3 linked regions of the Elephas maximus indicus genome follow. Each later gene encodes a partner of the first gene's protein in a complex. Links are inferred from orthologs where the notes say so. Each region holds a gene or a part of one and is shown in the gene's direction. Other genes may lie near its edges.

Region 1 (7,416 bases):
GTCCCTGCATGTATGTTTTGTATTTCATGTTGCATGGAAACAGCCCCCTTATTTGCTTAAGCCACTGTGAGTCTGATTTTCTGTTGCTTGAAGACAAACGCATTCCTAACTGATACCGGTAAATGAATTGAGAGTTTCTAGATATGGTGAGTGGTCAGTAGTGTCAGACGTTGCACAGAGGGCCTGTAAGCTTGGAAAATGTCTGGTGAATTTGGCTCTTGTAAAGTCACCCTTGACTTTCAAGATAGCAGATTCGAGAGAGCAGCAGGGGTGACAGCCGTGTTTCATCGGGCTAAAGAGTGACTGGGAGGAAGAGGAGGGAAGTCAATAAGTGGAGAACTTTCCTGTGAAGGGAAGCTAAATGATAAAACAGTCCTGAGAGGGGGTAGGGAGGTAAAAAGGAAATATTGAACAAGTTATATCCTACGGGGAATGATCAGGGAAAATGTATGAAAATACAGGAAAAAGAAGGTAATAGGTGGAGGTAGGCCTCTGAGAGGTGGAGGAAGTTCCAGGTTGTCGTCTGGAACCCAGTTAGTAGGGTTACTTTGGCCAGGAGGAAGGTCATACCTGCCTTTGAGACAGGATACAAGGAAAGTTCAGCAGTGCCTGGCACTTAGAAGCAGCTTAGGGTGGAGACTAGAAATTGTCTCCCAATCTACTTTTTCCCCTTTTACATAGGACTAGAATTTTTAGCTGGGCTCAAGTTGAAATAAAGACTGCATTTTCTAGCCTCCCTTGCATCTAGCTGTAGCCATTTGATCAAGTTCTGCCAATGGACTATGAGTAGATATGATGGTGCAACTTCAAGGTCAAGGGTAAACGGAAGGAACAAGTCCTCCATTTCCCCCATTCCTCATTCTTTCTGGCCCAAATACAGCCTTTTGGGGGAAGCTGGAACAACCATCTTGGATCACGAGATGGAAGGCATGTGTGGAGTGGTGCAGCAACAAGATAGAATGAGTATAGGTCCTTCATGATTGTGGAGCCAGCACATCAACTGGAAGGCCTTCCTGAACCTTACGTTTATGTTTAAGCTGCTATTGTTTTGGATCTGTTAGTGCAACAGAACTCATATCCTGAATAACGCAACCCTGGGCAGCTCTGAGGGCTCAGCTGAGGCCGGAAGCCATGACTGTGTAATGACTTCAGGGGGCCACTGGGTGATTTCCTCCAGCCATTCCCAGCAACCCCCTCAAGGAAGGGAGAAGACAGAGGTAGACTTGACATATGCTTGACAGTTCAAAGGGCAGGTGTGGCAGAAGTCAAGGCAAGGAGGGAGCAGAAGGGTTGGGAAGTGGATTGAAATGATGGAGTTTGGACTGGAGAAAATAGAGGTTGAGGGACTGGAAGTCAAAGAGCAAGGGTCATGGGAGTAAGGGAATGAAAGAGCTGGCAGGATTGGTTATCACATGGCACAATTTCTGGAACGTAATAGTCCACACACTTGCTTGTATATGTGTCATTGCACTCATCCGGATTTTCAGTGGCACTGGACAGAAATCTAACTCAAACAACCTTAGGCCCCAAAGTAAGTACCGTGTTACACTGCAAGTAAGGCAAGGCTGGATCCAGGGATGCAAAGGATTTTGTCCGGAATCCCTTTCTCTCAGCTTTGCTTTCCTCTCTCTTGTCTTCATTTTCAAGTTGGGTGTCTCCGTGAATTGGCAAAGACAGCTACTAGCCTGAAAACCCGTGTAGAAGAGAACATGTTTTTATATTTCCAGTAAGAGTGCTGGGATTTAGTGTCATTGAACCACTAGCTCACATTCCTGAATAGGGCCAGGGAGATGGGATACTCTGATAGTATCCCATCTGAAGCTGGGGCAGGTTGGGATCAGCCTACCCAAACTCCTTGGACAAAAAGTTGGGGAGGGGGGTTCCTAAAGAAAATTAGGGTACAGAGACCAGAACACAAGGTAATGGATGCTGGGTAGGCAGAAGTAACCTGTATCCACTACTGTGGGCTTCACCTGCTCTTCATATTCATTTACCTTGTGTATCTTAGGCTCCGGTCTGCCACATGGTCGTCTGTTGAAATGAAAATAAATGGTCTAACTCTGAAACCAGGTCTAGATCTTTTCACACTGGGAGGCAGAGATATGGGTTCTAGGCCTTGTGATTTGGGGCAAACCCAGGCCTCTCTTGGGTCCAAAAATGAGAATGCTAGTCCAGATCAGTGGTTTTCAATTTGTTGTCTAGGAGTAAATAGATGGAAAAGCTCTGGTGGAAGGGGGAGGAGGGCATGGAGCTATCTGCACTATCGGTCTTCCCCTTCCCCTCCCGTACTAGCCGAGAAAGAACTCTATAACTCTGGGGTCCCACTGGACCAGTGGTCCAAGGGATTCCTTTGAGCTCTAAAATTGAGCCTTAGTTCCACCAATATTTGACTGAAAGACAATCCTTCATTTTGCTTATTGACGCAGAGACAAAATTGGCGCTTAAAAGGATAAATGTAAAAAGATCTTCTCCCCCAACTGGACAATATGCAAAGAAGTAGTCTCACAGAGTACCTCACTCTGACTACTGCTTAGGGGAAAACTTCCTTCTCCAAAGGAACTGGTCCTCACTTAAGGGTAATGACTAGGAGTACAGCAATTAGACACTAAGCATCTTTGTGGGCTTTCTGGGGTGATATCCTTAGGGTTGCTGAATCACAGGCCAACAGTGACAAGCTCAGCCTTCCAAGGCCTCACCTTTGCAGTTTCAGGCTCTGAAAGTGCCAGAAGACCCCATTTGCTGGCAGAAACCATTACCAAGGGCCATAAAACCAAGTTTGTAAAATACATCCATCAAAATTGCATGAATTCAAGTGTGTGTGTGTGTGTGTGTGTGTGTGTGTGTATAGGAGGGGGAGAGGGAGGCTAGAACTTTATTTGAATTCATTCAAAGCCTTGATTGTAAGCCAGGTTGTATGCCAGGCACTGGGGTAAAATGATGGGCACACAAATGTGGTTTATACTCTCATAATGCTTAAGGTTTGGTGGCAGTGACAAATATTGACCCAATAATTATGCAAATAATTACAAACTTAGATTTGAAAATTATGAAGGAGAAGTACAAAGAGGTGTGAGATTTGGGGACTGCTACAGCTGAATTTGACTACAGCTCTCTTAAACTCAGGGAAGTGCTGCCCTTTTCCTGGACCTCAGTTTCCTCATCTGTAAAATGATGGCATACCATCTGCTTCTGAGGAAGTCTTACCCATTCTACAGGATTCAGCACTTCCCTGGGTCTCCAGGCTGTTCAGGAGCCCCTGCTCTGGGTTTGCATACCACCTGAGTTGTACCTGTCCCAGCACATCTCACTTCCCAAGCAGGGAGTAAAGTCCTTGGGTGTGATCTTGTATTTTGTCTTTATATCCCCAGTGCGTTGTAGTGTCTGGCTCACTGAAGGTGTTGAATGTCTGGTGCAGGTAGTGTTAATATCATTACGGAATTTGACAGGACATTCTCCCTGACCAATTGTCCTGGCTGAAGTAGCGGGGTGGGAAGAGGATTGCACAGGTTGAAATTCTGAAATCCTCAGCTGGAGTTCCAGTTCTGCCAATTATTTGCTGTGTTCTCGGGCAAGTTATTGGGGCTCTTTTAGCCTGAATCTTTTTCTGTATTAGGGGTGATACATCGCAGGGCTGCAGAGTTTTGCAAACTGCAAAATGTTACTCACCATCAACTTAATTTGAATAAAGGGGGAGGTGGAGGTGAGCAGAAGCAGAGGGAGACAATTTCACGGAGATGATCCTGAACAGAGATGCAAAGTAAAGTATGCATTACACCAGTTGCCATTGAGTAGACTCTGACTCATGGTAACCCCAAGTATGTCAGAGTAGAACTGTGCCCCATTAGATTTTCAATATAGGGTCGCTGTGAGTCGTGATAACTCAACTGCAATGGGTTTGTTTTTTGGTGGGATATTTAGGAAGCAGATAACCAGGCCTTTCTTCCCAGGAGCCTCTGGGTGGACTCAATTGCTACTCTTTTGGTTAGAAGCCCAGCGCTTAACCATTTGTGCATCTCAGGGGTTCCAAGCATGGATTAGGTGTCAGAAAACTGGATAGTAACCAAAAACTAAAGCTTAAAATCTGAGCCTCAATTTCTCTATCTCCAAAACGGGTACGAGCCTCGCATAAAGGTATGACGTTTAATTGCGACGCCGGGAGCCGAAAACCGCCAGCGACTACCGTACGCCGTGATAGGGTTACACGATTAGAACTGGCATCCGGGACCCAACTCCGGGTTCTTTGCACCTCCCGCCCCTGGCCTGGGCAGGAAGCGCCGACTGCCGGGGAACGCATCCAGCGACACAGCCGGAAGTGGATGGGCGGAGCCCCACGGGCAGCCCTGATGAGCCAATGGGAAGTAGAGGTGTATCCCACCTCCTCCAGTAGAGCGCCGACCAAGGCGGGCGCTTGCGAACCGCCCTAGTAACGGCCGCATGGTAACCCGAGCGCCTGGCGCGTGGTACTCGCTGCTGTTTTTCGACTCCCCGAGTCTGCAAGATGAAGATTGAGGAGGTGAAAAGTACCACGAAGACGCAGCGCATCGCCTCCCACAGCCACGTGAAGGGGCTGGGGTTGGACGAGAGTGGCTTGGCCAAGCAGGCGGCCTCGGGACTGGTGGGCCAGGAAAACGCGCGAGAGGTGTGGTCCGCGAGCCGGGGAGTAGACGGTGTTGAGCTGGGGGAGCTCAAGGGTTTGGGGGGCGCCTAAGGGGCTGGGCTGCGCGCTGAGGGTCTCGCCCGATATTTGCGTTAAGGGCTGTGGGTATAGGCTACGCGAATCAAGAGGGGCACGACACTGGGCTGGGAGAGGGACGGTCCCAGTAGAACCGGTAACAACTCTACAGGGGGACTGTTGAGTGTTAGATTCGACCCTTTGAAGCAGCACGTATTTGATTGAGCCACCTAATACGTGCCAGGTTCCATTCGTGACCCTGGGATACACCTGGAAACAAGATAGATAACGTTCCTGCTCCCGTGGAGCTTACAAGACGATAAACGTATAAACCAGTAAGCAAAAATTATTTTGGTAGGCAGAGGTCAGTTACTTCAGAGCTTCGTTGGCCATGGTGAGGAATTTGGATTTTATTGTGAATGCACTTGGAGGCTACGGATTTTTCTTAAGCGAGGAAGTGACTTTCCTTAAAAAAGTCCCTTTAGGTTCCTAAGGGCTGGGAGCTGAGGGAGGGAGTGGAAGTTATGGAGAGGAGCCATCTGGTTTATAAGCAAGCCCCTCCAGGCATCTCCTTTGACCATTATAACTAAGTCCACTTTTATTAAGTGGCTGTGATGCCAAAACCTTTCACTTAGCTCGTAATCACACACTATTCGAGCCCTTTGTTTTTTCTTCTTTTTTGGCAGATGGAAAAATTGAGGGCAGGAGAGGTCACTTCACCTATCCACTTGCCACTCAGCTTAGTAATGGTAAAGTTGAGATTGCACCCGAATGTATGTCTGACTCCCAAATCGGTGCTCTCTGATCACACAGCCCTCGTCTCAGCTTGCCTGCTCTAAGGTCATTGTCATGGCCTGGCAGCTACAAGAACCTGAACTTAAATATGAGGTTAAGAGGCTTGCTTCACAGCCTGATTGTGCTATAAAAGGGCCAAAGAAAAGCCTCTAGTTTCCATTTTGAGCATCATCTTTCCAAAAAGCAAACACTGACACGGTCAAGATGATTTTGAAACTTGCCTTTATCCAGCTTCAGCTTACTGAGGACTTGCTACTGCAAATAGCTAACATTTGTTGAGTACTTTCTATGTGCCAGGCGTTGTGCTGAGCAGTTTTATCTCCATTATCTTGTTTACCACTTCAAACCTAGTATTAATTGCCTTCCCTCCACTTTATTATGAAAAATTTCAGACAAAAAAGTTGGACGATTTGTACATTGAATACTATGTGCCTGAATTTTACAATTAGCATTTTACTATATTGCTTTTTCACACATCTGCCCATCCGTTCGTCTGTCCATCCACCAATCCATCTTTGTATTTCAAATAAGTTGCGGACATCTTTTAGCTTGTATGCCATTAACTATTAAGGACTCCGTTTTCAGAAAAGGAAATTGTGGTTCATAGAGGTAAATTATCTTGTCTGAGGTCACTACTAGTAAGTGGTAGAGCAAGGATTTAAACAAGTCTACCTTACTGCAGAATCCGTGCTCTTCACTGATGCATCATACCACTGTGACAGTAAGGACTAGTATTTATTACATACCCAGAACCTGGCTCATAGGGGCTCGGTATTTATTTATTGAATTAGTAGTTATCTGAAGACTTCTCTCAGCTACCTGGTCATATCAGCATCTTTCCTGGTGCTCAATGTCCACATCTGAAAAATGAGACCAGGTGATATTTTGAGGTTCTTCCAGTTCTTTTTAAATTTTAAGGTTCATTGAACATGTCTCACTGGAGAGAAACTGGAGCTTAAACTAAGGAAGATTAAATGGAAGAGGATCTAGTCTGTAAAGAAGAGTAGTATATACTCAGGATTTGGAAAGTCTTTCCCTTTTCTGTCTTTTTGAGTTTCCCAAAGAGCTCTGATGCTGAGGATTATGATATCACAGAATTCTGTGAACAGACCATAGTGGCTCTTTTATCGTCTTAGAAATACAGCATATGAAAAAGAGCTTCTAGGCTCTGTTAAGGGCACTGCCTTGCCAACTGAGCCAGAAATGGAATATAGCACACCCACACACATTCCTTGAACACATTTTTGGAGAGGACCAAGGTACTTCTCCATAGGCCATAGGGAAGAAAGAGACAAGAAGATGTGGACCCCATCCCAGGGAGCTACCTAGTGGTAGAGAAGAAAGGATGTGTTCTTGGGCCCTGTCAATACAGTACATGTGTGGTCACTGCCCAGAGAGAACTGTGGCCTTCCCTCAGACAAGGCAAATGAACCTTCTAGCCAGTCATATATTATGAATTCAGTGTGAGAAACCTGGTATCATGTAGTCCTTAGCACAAAACCAAAAACCAAACCTGTTGGAGCCGAATCAATTCTGACCTATAGCAACCCTACAGGGCAGAGTAGAACTGCCCCATAGAGATTCCAAGGAGCACCTGGTGGATTCAAACTGCTGACCTTTTGGTTAACAGCTGTAACTCTTAACCATTATGCCACCAGGTTTCCCCTTAGCATGAAGCCACCCTGTGAATGTGACTTTCCTACCTTTGCTCCTTTATAGTCAAATATTGTAAAATATATGATTGGTAGTCCATTTATAGAATATGTTTAAAGTGAACTAACACTAAGTGATAAAATAATTTACTCTTCAAGATTCAAAAGGCACTTGAAAGGAACTTGTGTCATAGGTTCAACTTCATATGCAGCGTTTCCATCTGCTGTGCAGTGTTCTGGGATGGTTTACTGATGGCCAGCTAGTAGTGTATGCCATTGATTCTTAACTGCAGTGGC
Region 2 (7,130 bases), on another chromosome or scaffold:
TGCATCTTAGATGGCTGCTTGTTAGCTTTTAAGACCCCAGACGCCACATTTCAAAGTGGGATGCAGAATGTTTTCATAATAGAATTATTTTGAGTGGACATACATTTTTATTGTCTTTGAGTAAATACCTAAGAGCAGGCTTCCTAAGCCATATGTTAGTATATGTTTAATTTTGTATGAAACTGTCAAACTATTTTCCATAGTGGTTGTACTGTTCTTCACTCCTACGAGCAATGTGTGAGAGCTCCAGTTGCCCCTCATTCTTGCCAGCATTCGGTATTGTTAGTTAAAAAAACAACAACAAAAAAAGTAGCCTTTCTGACAGATACATAGTGGTATCTCATTTTGATTTTAATTTAGGGTATGTACTTTTTTATGGTTCATGCTGTATTTACCCTCCATAATGGTTACATTCCTCCAATGGTATGTTCACGAGTTGTCACTCTTCTTCCTTTTGAGACATAAACAAAGGACCCTACAAGTGGCATCACAAGTCTAGGCAAAAATTCAGTATTTTTCTCTCCCTCATGACCTATTAGCCATCACACAGAAATAAAGTTCACTTGTATCATGGTTAAATTTCTGTGCAATGAATCCCATCTTCTCATGGACTCTCAGTCTAAAGTGAGAGATATGTTCATTTGGGGGAAAATTTGGCTTAAAGGCGAGTAAAGTCTACATTAGTGACTGTAGCAAGTTCTTTAAAGACATATTAAAAGTAAACTCTGATGGTTGCACAACATGGAGAATGTAATTAATGTCACTGAATTGTACACATAAAAATGGTTGAAATGGCAACTGTTTTGTTACATATTTTTTACCACGATAAAAAAATTTAAAGTAAACTCATCATTTGATGAGAAAGTATAATATTAAAATAATGTATTCTAATATAAAGTATTGAATTGCTCTTTCTGCTTGGCAAAATAGCTGAAATTACTACGCAGGGAAAACCTTAATTAAATGGACCATTTTACACCTTCTATCAAACTTCAATATATTTCAACAGTTGAATGTAGGATTACATTCAACTCTGATTACTAAGACTTTGTTTTTGGCATTTTGTGCCAAAGTCATTGGCTAGATTGAGCTGAAGTTAAATAGAATAATAAATAGTTGTCTCAAAAGAAATTTAAAAAATTCCTTGAAACTTCCGATTAAACATGGGGAATTTAAAACACATATTTACCTCCATTTCTTCAACAAACGTTACTAAAACAGCTTTAAAAGAATAAACAAAACAATAAAAAAACTGAATCAATCCCTACACTTAGTGACCCTACAGGACAGAGTAGAACTGTCCCACAGGGTTTCCAAGGAGTGGCTGTTGGATTTGAACTGCCTGCCTTTTGGTTAGCAGCCATGCTCTTAACTAATACACCACCAGGGCTCCTTAAATGAATAAGAAGACCTAAATCCAAATGGACAAAGAGACTTAACCTTTCCCACATTATCTCCAGGATACTTTCCCATTCTGTCCATGTGGTCCAATACAAAAGCCTTACCATTTAACTGCAATAACCATCTCTTTCTTCAAACTCCTTGGCTTCCACAACTTTTTTTTTTAATTCACCTCTTTCTCAATAAAAGTTGGCAGTTCTTCTAAGATGCATCAATTGGTCTTAACCCACCTGGAGCAAAGGAGAATGAAGAACACAAAAGACACAAGGTAATTATTAGCCCAAGAGACAGAAAGGGCCACAAAAATCAGAGACTACATCAGCCTGAGACCAGAAGAACTAGATGGTCCCCAGCTACAACAGATGACTGCCCTGACAGGGAACACAACAGAGAACCCCTGAGGGAGCAGGAGAGCAGTGGGATGCAGATCTCAAATTCTCGTAAAAAGACCAGACTGAATGGTCTAAGACTAGAAGGACCCCGGAAGTCATGGTCCCCAGACCTTCCATTAGCCCAAGACTGGAACCATTCCCAAAGCCAACTCTTCATACAAGGATTGGCCTGGACTATAAGATAGAAAATGATACTGGTGAGAAGTGAGCTTCTTGGCTCAGTAGACACATAAGACTAAGTGGGCAGCTCCTGTCTGGAAGGGAGATGAGAAGGCAGAGGGGGACAGAAGCTGGCTGAATGGACAAGGGAATACAGGGTGGAGAGGAGTGTGCTGTCTCATTAGGGGGAGAGCAACTAGGAGTATATAGCCAGGTGTATATAAATTTTTGTATGAGAGACTGACTTGTAAACTTTCACTTAAAGCACACATACACACACACAAAAGTTGGCAGTTTGGATCCACCAGGAATTCCACTCCTTGGAAACCCTATGGGCGGTTGTACTCTGTCTTATAGGATTGCTATGAGTCAGAATGGACTTGATGGCAACCAGTTTGGGTTTTTTTGGTTTACATTTTGAATATAAATGTCTGCTTTGGTAGACAATACCTCCCCCCTCTTCTTCTTTTTTCTCAACCATGTTTTTGCTCTCCTTGGCCTGATAGTCTTTTTATTATATACATTCTCTGTGGAGATCTTAATTGTTCTCATGGTCTCAACTATCATTTGTATGTGGATGGCTCCTAAATATCAATCTCCTTCCGTGAAGTCTCTTTTGGATTCTGTTCCAGAACCAGAGAAGCTAAATAATTTGCAGAAAACAGGATAATGCAGTGGCAGGCGGGTCAGAACTCAGGACTGGTACTAAAATTTGCTTCCAGGTTTCTTTTAGGTCTTTTTTTCTTCCCTTGGTTTTTAACTCTTCCTTGAACTGTTCCGCAGTTCATTTTGGTTCAGTTTTCCTATCATTTTGGCTTCTTTTCGCCTGCATTAAAACAAACACAAAACTTAACTAACTCTTCAAATGGCCTCCAGAGATGTCATTTTATACCAAAAAGCCCTCCTTCTCTACTTCTTTAGAAGAGCCTCTGTTTTCACCTTCACGAAATTTCCTTTTTAGGGAATTCAAAGGAAACATTTGTCATTAAAAAGAAAACCACCATTTTGTTTTCCTCCTGAAGTATTTAACACACCAAATACCAAATATTTACATTTTAAATGTAAACCTATTTGAGGGAATGCCTGTCTCTGTGTGGGGAAAGACAGCCTGTGGTAGAGTGGTGAGGAACCTGTGTATGGAAAGCCAAAGGTCTCTAACCTGAGAGACTGGAAAAATTGCAAATAAAAACCCAGCTCTGGGAGGCCTGGGGGTAATTCATCACTTCCGCCCTCCCTCCCCAAATCATCTGGAACTTCTTTGGGTGTTTATCCTGAAAAGGGTGTAAGCGAATGAGAAGGACAGAATTGAAGCAAGAACTAAGAAAAATTAGACCCTTAAGAAAAAAACAATTGTTATCCCACTCTTTTATATTCCGCATTAAAAGTACACTTTACCTACAGATTTCCGTGGAAACCAACTAAAGGGAATTAGGAGAAGCATTGCAGAGCCATTTCTGTGCGAAACGATGTTCGATTTTTATTAGGCCAGCTTTCTTTCACTTCCAAGGTCCCAGTGTTTATTAAAGCAACAATTAACCTCAGTAACAATTCTCCAAGGTAGTTTTATTCACCCAACTGCTTTCAAAATCAGACAGTCCCTCATGATGGAATTTAAAATACCATCTATATCCTGGTTCTGCACCACGGAACATCAGTCTCTGTGGGAAGCCTGTTCCCGGCAGGGCAGTGCCACGAAGGCATGCTTTTAATGTGATGTGCACGTTGGTGTGTGCACTTTGGCAGCAAAGCAGGGCCTGTGTTTTAAAACGGCCAAGAGCCGGTGCGTGTGTGGTGAATTATCGGTGTCGTAGCTTGGGATAGGATGCTTTCTCCCTCCCTTTTACACTAAAAACAGAAAAGCAAAAAAACAAATCCAACAGGCATCAAAACCGTCCCAGCGCCTGGGGAAAGCGCGCCAACCACACAAAGAAAAGGGGGGGGCTATTGGGATTCAAAACCATTTTTCTGGGATGGACACTCTCCTGGGCCTATCGGAGTTAACTGCGCGCTTGGTCGTATCCAATAGACACAGAGTTTCTGGTCCAGGTCCGCCCTGAAGACTGATAGACAATTACGTAGCCCAACGGAATAGTGTGATGCTGAAGAAGCAACCAATACGTTCGGGAGGTGGGTGGAGTGTAGGCTAGGGGGTTGGCGGTGCCGTGTCATGGAGGCTCAGTCTCCGAGCAGCCATTGAAGGGGAAGGAACTGCGGGTGTGTGAGTGTGTGTGTGCGTGTGTGTGCGCGCGCGCGCGAGTGTGTGGACAAGGAGGTGGGGGCAGCCGAGTTAGAGTCCCAACTCCTTGGACTCCATTTGCTATTCTCTTCCCCCCCCCCCACACCTATCTGGTGGCGGTGGGCGTTATATTTGCGTTTCTTTTCATTCATTTTCAAACCTTTTTAAATTTTAGGGTTGGGGGTGGTGGGGAAAGGCAGGAAAGGGGAAGGCAGGAGACTAGTGGCAGAAGAGGAGGTGGAGGACATGGAGATGAAGAAGAGGATTAACCTGGAGTTAAGGAACAAAGCCCCGGAGGAGGTGAGATGACTCAGCCCCCTCCCCTTCCCCACCAACCCCATATTCGGAGGGTCGAATTTCTAGGGGTCCGAGTGGGTGTGTAGGGAGAGGTAGGAAATTAACCCCCATCTGGGGTTAGGGCTGGAGGAAATGTTTAATTTTAAGTTTTAAATCATTAAAATCTTCTTTCTTAAAATGGCGAAGGGTTTAAGTTTCTAGGGGCCTTTTTGTGTGTGTGTAGGGGCTTAGCCCCTTTCGACTCTCGGTGAGCTGGGCTTCCTGCCCTCGTGGGGGCAGGGAAGCGAGGTGGTGGGGGCCCCTCTGCCCGGTCGCTCCCCGCCTTCCTCTTCTTGGAGGCAGGCGGCGTGGGCGCGACCCCCCGGTCCACTCGCCCCTGCCGCAGGCGCCGCCGCCTGAGAAGTTAGTCCAACTTTCCTGCAGTGCTGCCAACTCGTTTGGGGTCGAGGGCGGAGGGGTCAAGAGACCCTCGCCCCGACCTCGAGGCCGGTTGGCGCCTGACTTCGCGCTGGTCGAGGGCTGGGGTCGCTCGCAGGGTCCGCGGACCGCCAGCTCCTGGCGGCGCCCATTCCCCCGGGATGGGGCGCGCGGCGGCCGCCGGCTGGAGGAATCTGGGTCAGCCGCGGGCTAGTCGGACCGCGGGTAAGTTTGGGGACTCGTCGCAGTGACCGGAGGTGGGGAGGGGTCGTGAGGAAGAATCCCCTTCTTCCCTCCAAAGGAGAGGAGGACACCCCCGGCTTTTACACCGCGATGTAACGACATTCGGTGTCTAGTGGCGTAGTGGCCGCAACTCTGAATTTGATCCGCGGAGATGGGTTCACAAAACTCAACAAATGGGTCGTAGTAGTTTTGTGCCTTAAAGATGGGCACGACGAAACTCAGAGATGCGCTCTAGTTACTGTCGCCTTAGTTAAAGAGACGGGCTTGGGAGGGGCCACGTGAGGCGGGGTCGTCAGCTATCGGGGGGCGGGCGGGAGGTGTTCCCGCCTCCTTTGCGAAGGCGCCCCTCGGCCTCACCCAGCGCTCCCAGCCCCCGGCGGAGGCGCGAGGGGAACGCGGCCCGGCAAACCACCCCTTTCCCTGGGGCGTCCACGCACCATGTAGGGTTCCCAGTCGGCCCGAGCGCGCGCGGGGACTGTGGCCCGCGAGGAGCCTCGGACTTAAGGTTTCAAGGGAAAGTGTTAATTGCCTTGCTGGTGCGCAGCGCCTGAAATACTGTTAGCCCTAGAATTGGAATATGCGAGATATGTATTTTTAACGGGTGAGGTGGTGCCTGTGCACCGTAGAAGATGAGTAGGATTCTGGCCGGTGGGCTGCTGCGTGCAGAGTGGGACACAAGATATTTATGTACTTTTTTTTTTCTTTCCCTGAAATTGGTAGGGTGCGGGGAGGAGGAAATAGTTGCTGCTATCAGGGTCATCCCAGAGAAAACTTGAAGTTTTCTAGGATCTACTCTTCAGGGGCTTCAGGGAAAAGCAAAATCAAACTTGAATGCAGTCTTTCAAAAGCACACATTTAGAATACTTTTTTATGTCTTGAGTTGGAGAAATGGATTTGCCTCCCACCTCCCATTTTTTTACGTAGTAATTTCTTTGCAGCATTGCCCGTTTTGGGGATTTGGAGGAGAGAGTGCCTTTTTGCAAATTCTCCTTCCTCCGCCGTGATATAATAACAGTCTCTTACGTTTGTAAAGCTCTTTACAGTTTACAAAGCACTTTTCATTTTATTTACTTCACTCTTTCCGATAAACTTGTAAGGTGGATTGTATTGTTCTAGAATCCAAATTAGCAAAAAAAAAAAAAAAAGTCTTAGAGCAGTGAAGTGATTTACTTAAGTGGTAGAACTGGTTTCTGACACCAAATCTAGCAACCCTTCCACCACTCAGCTAGACTGGGAGTAAGAAGACTTAGGGTTGAGGCACAGCTCTGCCACATACTAATTGTGTGACCCTGGGCAAATCATCCATAGCCTCTGGCTCTTGGTTTCTCCATCTCTAGGGGAGAGATGATGCTTTCTCTGCTCACTGAAATAATTACGTCAAAGTCATATTCAGATGGGGAAGGTGGCATTCCGTGTTGCTAATTTTTAGCCCTCAAAATACTTAAAACATATTTTTGCTGTTGGGAAATAGAGCAGGGTCTCCTGCCTCCTTAAGATTCAGTCCTTTTAGGCCCATACCAGGAAGTTTTGTTGCTATAACAGTAACCTAATGGGGGATCAAGCCCTCCTCTCCCCTCCAAGAATAGAGAAAAGTCCACAAAAATGCTACCAGGATGGCAGGGAGAAATAACATTTTGTCAAGGATGTAATATTCTGGGTGATACTGTTTGGCCTCATTATTAGAACAAATAACACCGAAAAGCTAGGCTGTTCCAGAAAGGTAACAAGGTTGTTTTTTTTTTTTTGAGTTTGATGGCATTTATCAATGAAAGATGAGGGAGTTGAAAACTGAAAAAAATGAATAAAACTATTTCCTGTCTTCTCCTTGCTAACTTTTAGGACAACTTACTGGAATCCTTTCCCAATAGCCCAGGTGTCCCTTCACTGCATAAATACGGGCCCTGCTGTTGAGGATCATTCTCAAACACCATTAGGGTCAAAAACAGCTTTTACCATGGGTCCTTTTTCAAAGTTTTATTTTTTAT
Region 3 (7,709 bases), on another chromosome or scaffold:
AGCCAAAAAAAAAAGTTTTTACAACCCCAAGGTAGTCATAAACAGATTTTGATTAACAGTTTTGTAAAACTTTAGCATTGCTAACAATATAAACTGACATAAATACCCCAGCTATGAAGAGTTCTGAATTATGAGGGCATTCTATAAAGAAAAACATTATCTGAATATGTAAATAATTATTACTGATATATCATTTACATATCATTTTCCGTTTACTCAGGTGAATATATTTTCGTGTTTTTAAAGCATCTTACTGCAAATTCGGTATTAGTAAACATTTAATCACTATTTGTAACTTTTCTGATATTAAACATTTCATAACTATTTTATTTAACTGACTCAGTTATGCACTGTGATGCTAACTCACAGAGGTGATTGCGTTTAATTCTGTTTCTTCAATTACATAGACCATAATTTTCGAACATGTCTTTAGTCTTTGGGAAGGTAGGTGGACTGTGGTAATCATATGGAAGAAGTCCTAGAAGAAGCTAGGTAATTTTGTTCAAACATCTTTATAGCTGTAAGACATGTGAGGATACACCAGACGTTGACAACATATAAAGCATCTTTCATTGGTGTCATTCACAAGCCACAGTGACCAGTAAACTGTAAGGTAAAACCACCAATAATAAACTCTTCAAATTCAGCTGGCACGAGAGCAGATCCCAGACTAAGGTGTGGTGTGTGAAGCACCTAGGGTGCAAAATTTAACGAAACATGCAACTTTCAGGATGCTAGTCCTTGCCCTGCACACGTGGTGTTTGCTGCAGAGGCCAGGGGTGCGTGATTTCCACATTCTTACCTCCGGTAGTTTACTGGGTTTGTTTGGGTTACCTCCGGTAGAAAGGATTTGCTCATCTCTAGCCCAGTACCCGAAGACTCAGCAATTCCTCTTGAGAAGCAGACCAGCTTAATCTGCTCTATTACTATCGCTAAAATCCTGCCTCCTCTCCCCAAAGTCTGTGTGATAATACCCAGCAGTCCTCCTCCAGAGTTGTGGTATTACAGTGGTTAAGTGCTTGGCTATTAACCAAAAGATTGGTGGTTCAAACTCCCAGCCACTCTGCAGGAGAAAGACGTAGCAGTGTGCCTCTCTAAAGATTTACAGCCTTGGTAACTGTATGGGGCAGTTGTACTCTGTTCAATAGGGTCGCTAGAAGCCGTGGTTGTGTGTGCTGCTAACCAAAAGATCAGCAGTTTGAATCCACCAGCCACTACTTGGAAACCCTATGGAACAGTTCTACTCGGTCCTATAGGGTCGTTATGAGACAGAACTGACTCGATGGCAAAGGGCTAGTCCTACTCACAGTACTAGAGCCCTGATGGTAAACACCACTCCAGTATCTCAGGCCCTGTTATCTTCTGACACAATTCCTGAGAGAAATCACCTACTTAGATTGCAACATCACCCTTGATTCATCTCATTATTTGGTCCGAGGGCCCACCCCACACAGTTCCCAGTGCTGTCCGCTTGCTGAGGCTGCCCTTTGGCCTGTTAGTCTAGGTTTCTTAAGAGCCTGTGGCTCGGTCTGTTCCCCTTCAAATAGTTCCCAGTTAGTCCTACCCCATCAGAGTTAACAGAACCATCCAATCATTGTAACAACCAAAAGCACTTCCATGTTTTTTCCAAAGCATCAGCTGGGGACAGCACTTCTCCAGTTGAGAATCACAGAGGGAAAAGAGAGGACGTACCTTCAACAAGAAATGGGCCAACTATCTCAGAGTCTTGCTCTTTCCATCCCGTTGGTTCATAAACCTTCTGTCAAAATCATCTGGGGAAACTTCTGATTTACTTATTTAACACACAATTATATAGTGCTTACTCTTAAATTATTATAAACACACTACAAATATTAGCTCATTTAATTCTCATAGCAACCCTATGAGGTAGGCCCCCATTCTACAGATTACATGCAGAAGCTAAGATTGAAATGCAGGCATTTTGCGTGTGAGGTATATGGTAAGGACTGCTCTATGCAGCAGACATCCAGATCCCATCCCCAAAGATCTGAGTCTACAAATCTGGGAAAAACACAGTGAAATTTGTATGTATTTGAACAAAACTTTCAAGTTATTTCATATAGTGAGAAAGGCATCCACCCAGTAGCATCACTAGGGTTGGTGTCACCCTCCATACTAATTACCGCAATATTGTAGCACATGATGAAACCATGTGATTCGAAGCATCATTATAATTAGGTAATAATGACAGTTCTAACTGGAGCACATTAGAAGATTCAAAAAGTAAATTAGCATAGAATATTAGTCTTGTAGATATACTGATACATGAAGCTGAGTCTAAGAAAAAAAGTTTTGTTGTTATAACTACAGGAATATTTTTATAAAAAAATAAATTTCTAGTGAAACACTGCACAAAAATTTTAGAGATGGTTATTTTGGTGTCACTCCCTCTGACAGTGTCTTCTGGTACAGACCACACCCCGCCCCACCTCCTTAGTGATGTCACTGCACCCACCTACTGACTAGTATTTGAGAACCACAGGACTATACCACATGTCATTTAGAAGAGACAAGACAACGACTTATGTGGCTAGAAAGGAATCTCTGTGTTGGAGTACAATGAGAAAGCAAGGAAGAATGGGGGGCGGGGGAGACTATTAATTCAGAAACTTGGAAGCCAGGCTAATACGAATCAGTTAAAATATATTGAGAACATAGCATCAGGGGAGCAGTACAAGTATCATTAAAAAAACCATGAAATTATCCTATTAAGAACGATACATGACAGCAATGGTCTTAAGTGAAAGATGCATGAAAAAAGAACAGCCTACCTAGTTGTGTGATGGGCTACAGATGGGCAGATGTTGACCGATCAGGCATAATAAATGTACAGACCAGTCCTTTCTTAAACAAAAATTAGTAAACCAGTCTAATTTGTCCAAAAACTCACCTTAATTATGTGAACTTGGATTCTTAAAAAGTTTCCGACCTAGCAGCTTTTATATCAAGGACATGTTTTTTAAAAGTCTAGCACAAAGTATTAGAAATTCAGTGTCTTTTTATTATTTATTTTTTGTGAATTTTGGGATTATAAATTTATGTATCACTACAAACCAGTCAGAACTGACTCCTTTAAAAGCCATTATAAGTATTAACATCCTCCAGAAGTAGGAAAACATTTTACATTTACACAATGAGATATAAAGGCTTTTTTAAACTATAGACCCACAGACACATGAAGAGCTTACAGCTTCAGTTGTGTATCCTCAATCCCCAGTGGAAAATAAACACAGAAACACAAAAGCTAATCAACCACCACAGCTGTTCTCCTTCCCACTGAACACAAAACTGTTAATTTGAGCTCACAAGAAGACAACAACAAAATAACCTGTAATGTCTCTTCCAATAGAAAATATACCTCCCATCACCTGACGTATCACTAAATGGTGAAATCATAAAACCAAACTCCCAAAACATTACCGCTACTAGTGTTAAATGACTTATCAGCCAGGCACAAGTAAGAAACACACACACAAGTTTAAATAGGAAGAGTGGGAAAAAAAAAATTAGAGAGTAAAGTTAGGTCTATAACCAATTGGGATTTACTTTAAAAGCTAATAAAGACATGACTGGGCTTAACCCATGAGGTGCACTTCTTCAGTGATACAATTTATTTGGCTCCACAGGTGGTCCCACTTGGGTATCTCCATGGAATCTCAAGTTTCCAATGGTAAAGTGTAATTTTCAAAAGTATAACACCATGACCCTCATGAAAATATAAAATGAACACATGTCAAAGTTTTATTCAATTCATTAATTATATAGAGAATTGGGAAGACATTAAAACCAATTCAAAGAGCATTTGGGATGCTGGGGATGTATTACTAAAATTATGTTAGAATACGATCATAGAATTAGATACAAAACCGATTAATGTCTAACTGAACAATAAATCATAACCTCTGGAGTAACCTGGTCCAACAGATACCTGACAAAACTCCACAAGTTAAAGTCTGCCCCTACAGAATTGTACAATAATACGGTCAATAAAAAGGACAAAACAGCACTGAAAGAACACTCAGTAATCTCTTTTGCCTATTTCCAAATTTTTGATAATTTTTCTCACAGGAGTGAAATATTAGAAATATTGCATGGGACATATATATATAATAAAAATTACTGTTTTATCTGAAAGTCAAATTTAACTGTGCCTCTTTTTTTTTTCCTGTATTTTACCTTGTAACCCTGCTAACGAGTTAACAAAAATTTTACCGAGTTTGTACAGTTCCGCTGTCAACCTTACAGCTCTTACATCTGTGCCTCACGTGCTACCCCCCGTAGATAATAAAAATTTAGCGGTATTCCTATTCTTTATATTTACCACTGGGTGACGCTTACAACCCGCAGTAAACCCACTGGTATGGAGTCAATTCCAACTCATAGCGACTCTCCACGACAGGGGAGAAACGCCGCAGTCTACTAGGGGAGAAAGAGTGAAGAGTCCTCAAAAGCCGCTTCTACAACCCATCCCCCAAGGTAGACTTGAAGAAGCTCTCAGATTTCACAACCAGGCTCTGTTGGCGCGCGCCGGAAAAGGTTCAGCGAAACCGCCGAACTACGCCCAGGCCAGACCCAGACTGCGCAGGCGTTCGGGTTAGTGCGCAGACGCTGTCAGCAGGACTCACGGGAAGCGGAAAGGGAGGGGGTGGAGCCGCTGAGGGCGCGCACGCGCAGAGGTCGGCGGCTGCCTCCAGCTGGGGCGCCTGAGGTGTTCTGTGCTCCTCGCCTCGTGCGTTCCATGGAGATGCCCAGCTCCCGGGCGCATCCGGAGGACAGCGCTGAGCTGGTCCCTTCCGACAACTCGACCCCGCACAAAGAGGAACTTAACAGCAAGGCAAGTGTGGACGCGGGAAGGCTCACGGGCCCCGGATGGGGCGCCACTGGCCCCAAAGATGGTCCGCCGCGGCTCCTTCGCTCCCCGCGTGCTTGGCCATCCTCGGTCCCTGGTACCCGGTGGGTCAGTGTCAGTGCGTGACTCGTCGGGCCTCGGCTTTGCCCAGCTGGTGTGCACTTTTTACTCATGGCACTATGTGCAGCTCTATACACTTTGCAGCTGCCTTCTTTTAAACAGTTGTAGTAAGGGAGACACTGAAAGTTGCTCCAAGGTTAGACTTAGGTAGCAGTGGGACGGAGGTTTTTAAAATTTTTCACTTTACCTTTTAAAACTTTTAGAAAGACCGCCCTCCTCTCCTAGATGTTCTATTGCCCGTATTCTCCATCTCAGAAAACGCCACCACCGTCCGTCCAGTTGGCTATGCAAGTAACAGGCGAGCCATCCTTGACTTCCATCACAACGTCCTGTCACTTCTACCTCCGAAGCCCCTGGACTCTTAACCACCGTCTACCCTGCTATCAACCCAGACCAGCCACTATCGTCTCTCATTGGGACTCTCTCAAATCCTTCCCAACTGGTGTTTCCCCATCCACCATTACTTTTTTCTAATCTATTCACCATTTAGCAGCCAGAGTAATAATCCTAAAACATGTATCTGATTGTCACTCTATTTTTAAAAAAGGGGGGGAGGGGAGGCAATATAAAAATTTCGTGCAATAGACAAAAGCTTTAAAAATATGGGGAGAGAGCAGTTACAGCTTTTCAGATATTAGGTATCCTTTGCTTCTGTCCCAAACTAACAGTGACATCTTGGGCAGGTCTCTTTAATCTCTCTCCATCATATTTTCCTTGTTTGAAGTATGTAAGTGAAATTTATACCTGCTTTCCTAAAATGAATAGGAAAAGTACTGTTCAGACATAACCTATTGTTATTACTACTTTCATCCCAGGGAGGTCATATGAATTCAACCTTGGTATTCAACCTGATCGAGTCAATTACTAGAACCTTGATTATCAGCTAGGGAGACACAAAGGTGCACACACATCGGGGGTAGTTTTTTAAACTACACAGCATGTTCCTGTTACTACCATAGCAAGTCCCTTAAATTAATATATGATATTCTCCAGGTGTGTGAGGTAGAAAAAAAGACCGTGAACAATAATTTTAGAGCCACTAGCGTTTGGGTAGCGAAACTGTCAGGTTGTCAAAATAACTAGTTATTTGCTTAGTTTTCACTTAGCTGAATGCTCCCATGCTAGTATAAAGCAAAGCCTCTTTCAGTAGTGCCAGGACTGTGCTAGTCTTTGAAATACAGAAATGAATAAAGCAACAATGGGAAGTGATAGGTCTTACTGCCACAAGTAGGGCATTTAGCATTACTTGCTTGTTTCAGATGTCTAGCTACACCATTTAGTTCATAAATCATAAAAACCACTAATAATTGAAAAAAGTAGCCCACCCCTTATCCCATTCAGAATTAAATAAAAAATATAACACAGCTTGTGAGAATTAATTGAAAAACTGTTAATACTTTTGGTGCATACCATATGCTTTTAATAGAAGATATAAACCTTGTTTGGTTACCGTACCACTTGGTGTGTATTCTGGCTACCAGCAACCCTTGGCCAGTCTAATCACTGCTTCCCCCTTCAACTTTCCCCCACCTCCATCCCACACAGACTTTGCGAAAAGAATCTGTATATTCACAGACTGCCCATTTTGAAAATCACTACATAATAGTCCCATATTCCATTTCTGATTCTGAAACAATTAAAGGACCATCTTTGAACATACCTTGAGAACTCCTGATTTAAGGATTTTTTTTTCCTTTATTTCTATAGATTAAAGAACAAAAAATTGTTGTAGATGAACTTTCTAACCTGAAGAAAAACAGGGTGAGTTATTAGAGTAATTGGTTATATTTTATTAAAAATTACATATATGGTTTATATAAATCTAACGTTAAAATGTTTAGGATTTCAACATCTTTTTAGTTAACAAATTGCAAAAGTGAAAAAGTTTTTTTTAACGTGTGTGTAATGTTGAAAATGGTTTTCCCCCATCATGTGGTAGGGTCGGAATCAACTTGACGGCAGTGGGTTGGGTGGGTGCTATCCACATTACTTTTGGACCAAATGATACTAAGGGTACTGTAGTTTACTGCTGTAATCAGTAATAGTATTTATTTTATACTTGAATTTGATATTTTCTTTTGTAATAAATTAACTTTAAATATATGGAAAAGAGAGGAAACTTTCTATAAATGAATATGGATAATTGTTGAACAACAAAAAAAAATGATAAAATTGCCACCCCCCAAAAAACAATAATAATAACCTCAATCTTTGAAGTGCTTAACACGATTTTTAAATGTATTCATGAGCAAGCTGCCAAAGTTACCAAAAATTACATTTTAAAATTCAGGAGGAAATTATTTTAGCTCCTTAAAGGATTTAAAATATTATTTTATAACAGGTTAGACATTTCTAATATTGCCTTTTGTGGAATATTAGAAGTTAAGGCGCAATTGAAACGAACTTTCTAGATGACAGATTGGCAGAGCATATCAAAGTCTTAAAACTGTAACAGCTTGACCCAGTAGTATCATTTCTAGGAATTGATGCTTAGAAAAGAATCACGGGTGTGCACAAAGATTTAGTTACAAGGATATTTCATCACAACATTGATTTTATAATAGTGAAAAGTTGGTAACATCACAAATGTCTTAAGATTTGGGAACTGAGCAAATAAAACTAGTATTTTATATCCATACAGTAATACTGTAAAAGAATACTTATTAACATAAGAAAAGGTGTTCACAATGTAGTATTTACTGATAAAAGCAAATTATAA

What was found. Proteins that work in one complex are often made in the same cells at the same time.
Region 2: RUVBL1 (region 1) and ANP32E share a complex: the UniProt entries of both Homo sapiens proteins name them as parts of the SWR1-like complex. The link is inferred for Elephas maximus indicus from reciprocal best matches to the Homo sapiens genes RUVBL1 and ANP32E.
Region 3: RUVBL1 (region 1) and ASDURF share a complex: the UniProt entries of both Homo sapiens proteins name them as parts of the PAQosome complex. The link is inferred for Elephas maximus indicus from reciprocal best matches to the Homo sapiens genes RUVBL1 and ASDURF.

Annotation. Positions count from the first base shown.
Region 1 is NC_064838.1:42,480,591-42,488,006, forward strand, and holds the start of RUVBL1 (ruvB-like 1), read left to right. Parts: upstream 1-4,396; 5' UTR 4,397-4,498; coding exon 4,499-4,639; intron 4,640-7,416. UniProt on the Homo sapiens protein: Possesses single-stranded DNA-stimulated ATPase and ATP-dependent DNA helicase (3' to 5') activity; hexamerization is thought to be critical for ATP hydrolysis and adjacent subunits in the ring-like structure contribute to the ATPase activity.
Region 2 is NC_064821.1:184,387,901-184,395,030, reverse strand, and holds the start of ANP32E (acidic leucine-rich nuclear phosphoprotein 32 family member E), read left to right. Parts: upstream 1-4,110; 5' UTR 4,111-4,434; coding exon 4,435-4,488; intron 4,489-4,637; exon of another isoform or gene 4,638-5,127; intron 5,128-7,130. UniProt on the Homo sapiens protein: Histone chaperone that specifically mediates the genome-wide removal of histone H2A.Z/H2AZ1 from the nucleosome: removes H2A.Z/H2AZ1 from its normal sites of deposition, especially from enhancer and insulator regions.
Region 3 is NC_064824.1:87,826,478-87,834,186, forward strand, and holds the start of ASDURF (ASNSD1 upstream open reading frame protein), read left to right. Parts: upstream 1-4,689; 5' UTR 4,690-4,759; coding exon 4,760-4,855; intron 4,856-6,697; coding exon 6,698-6,751; intron 6,752-7,709.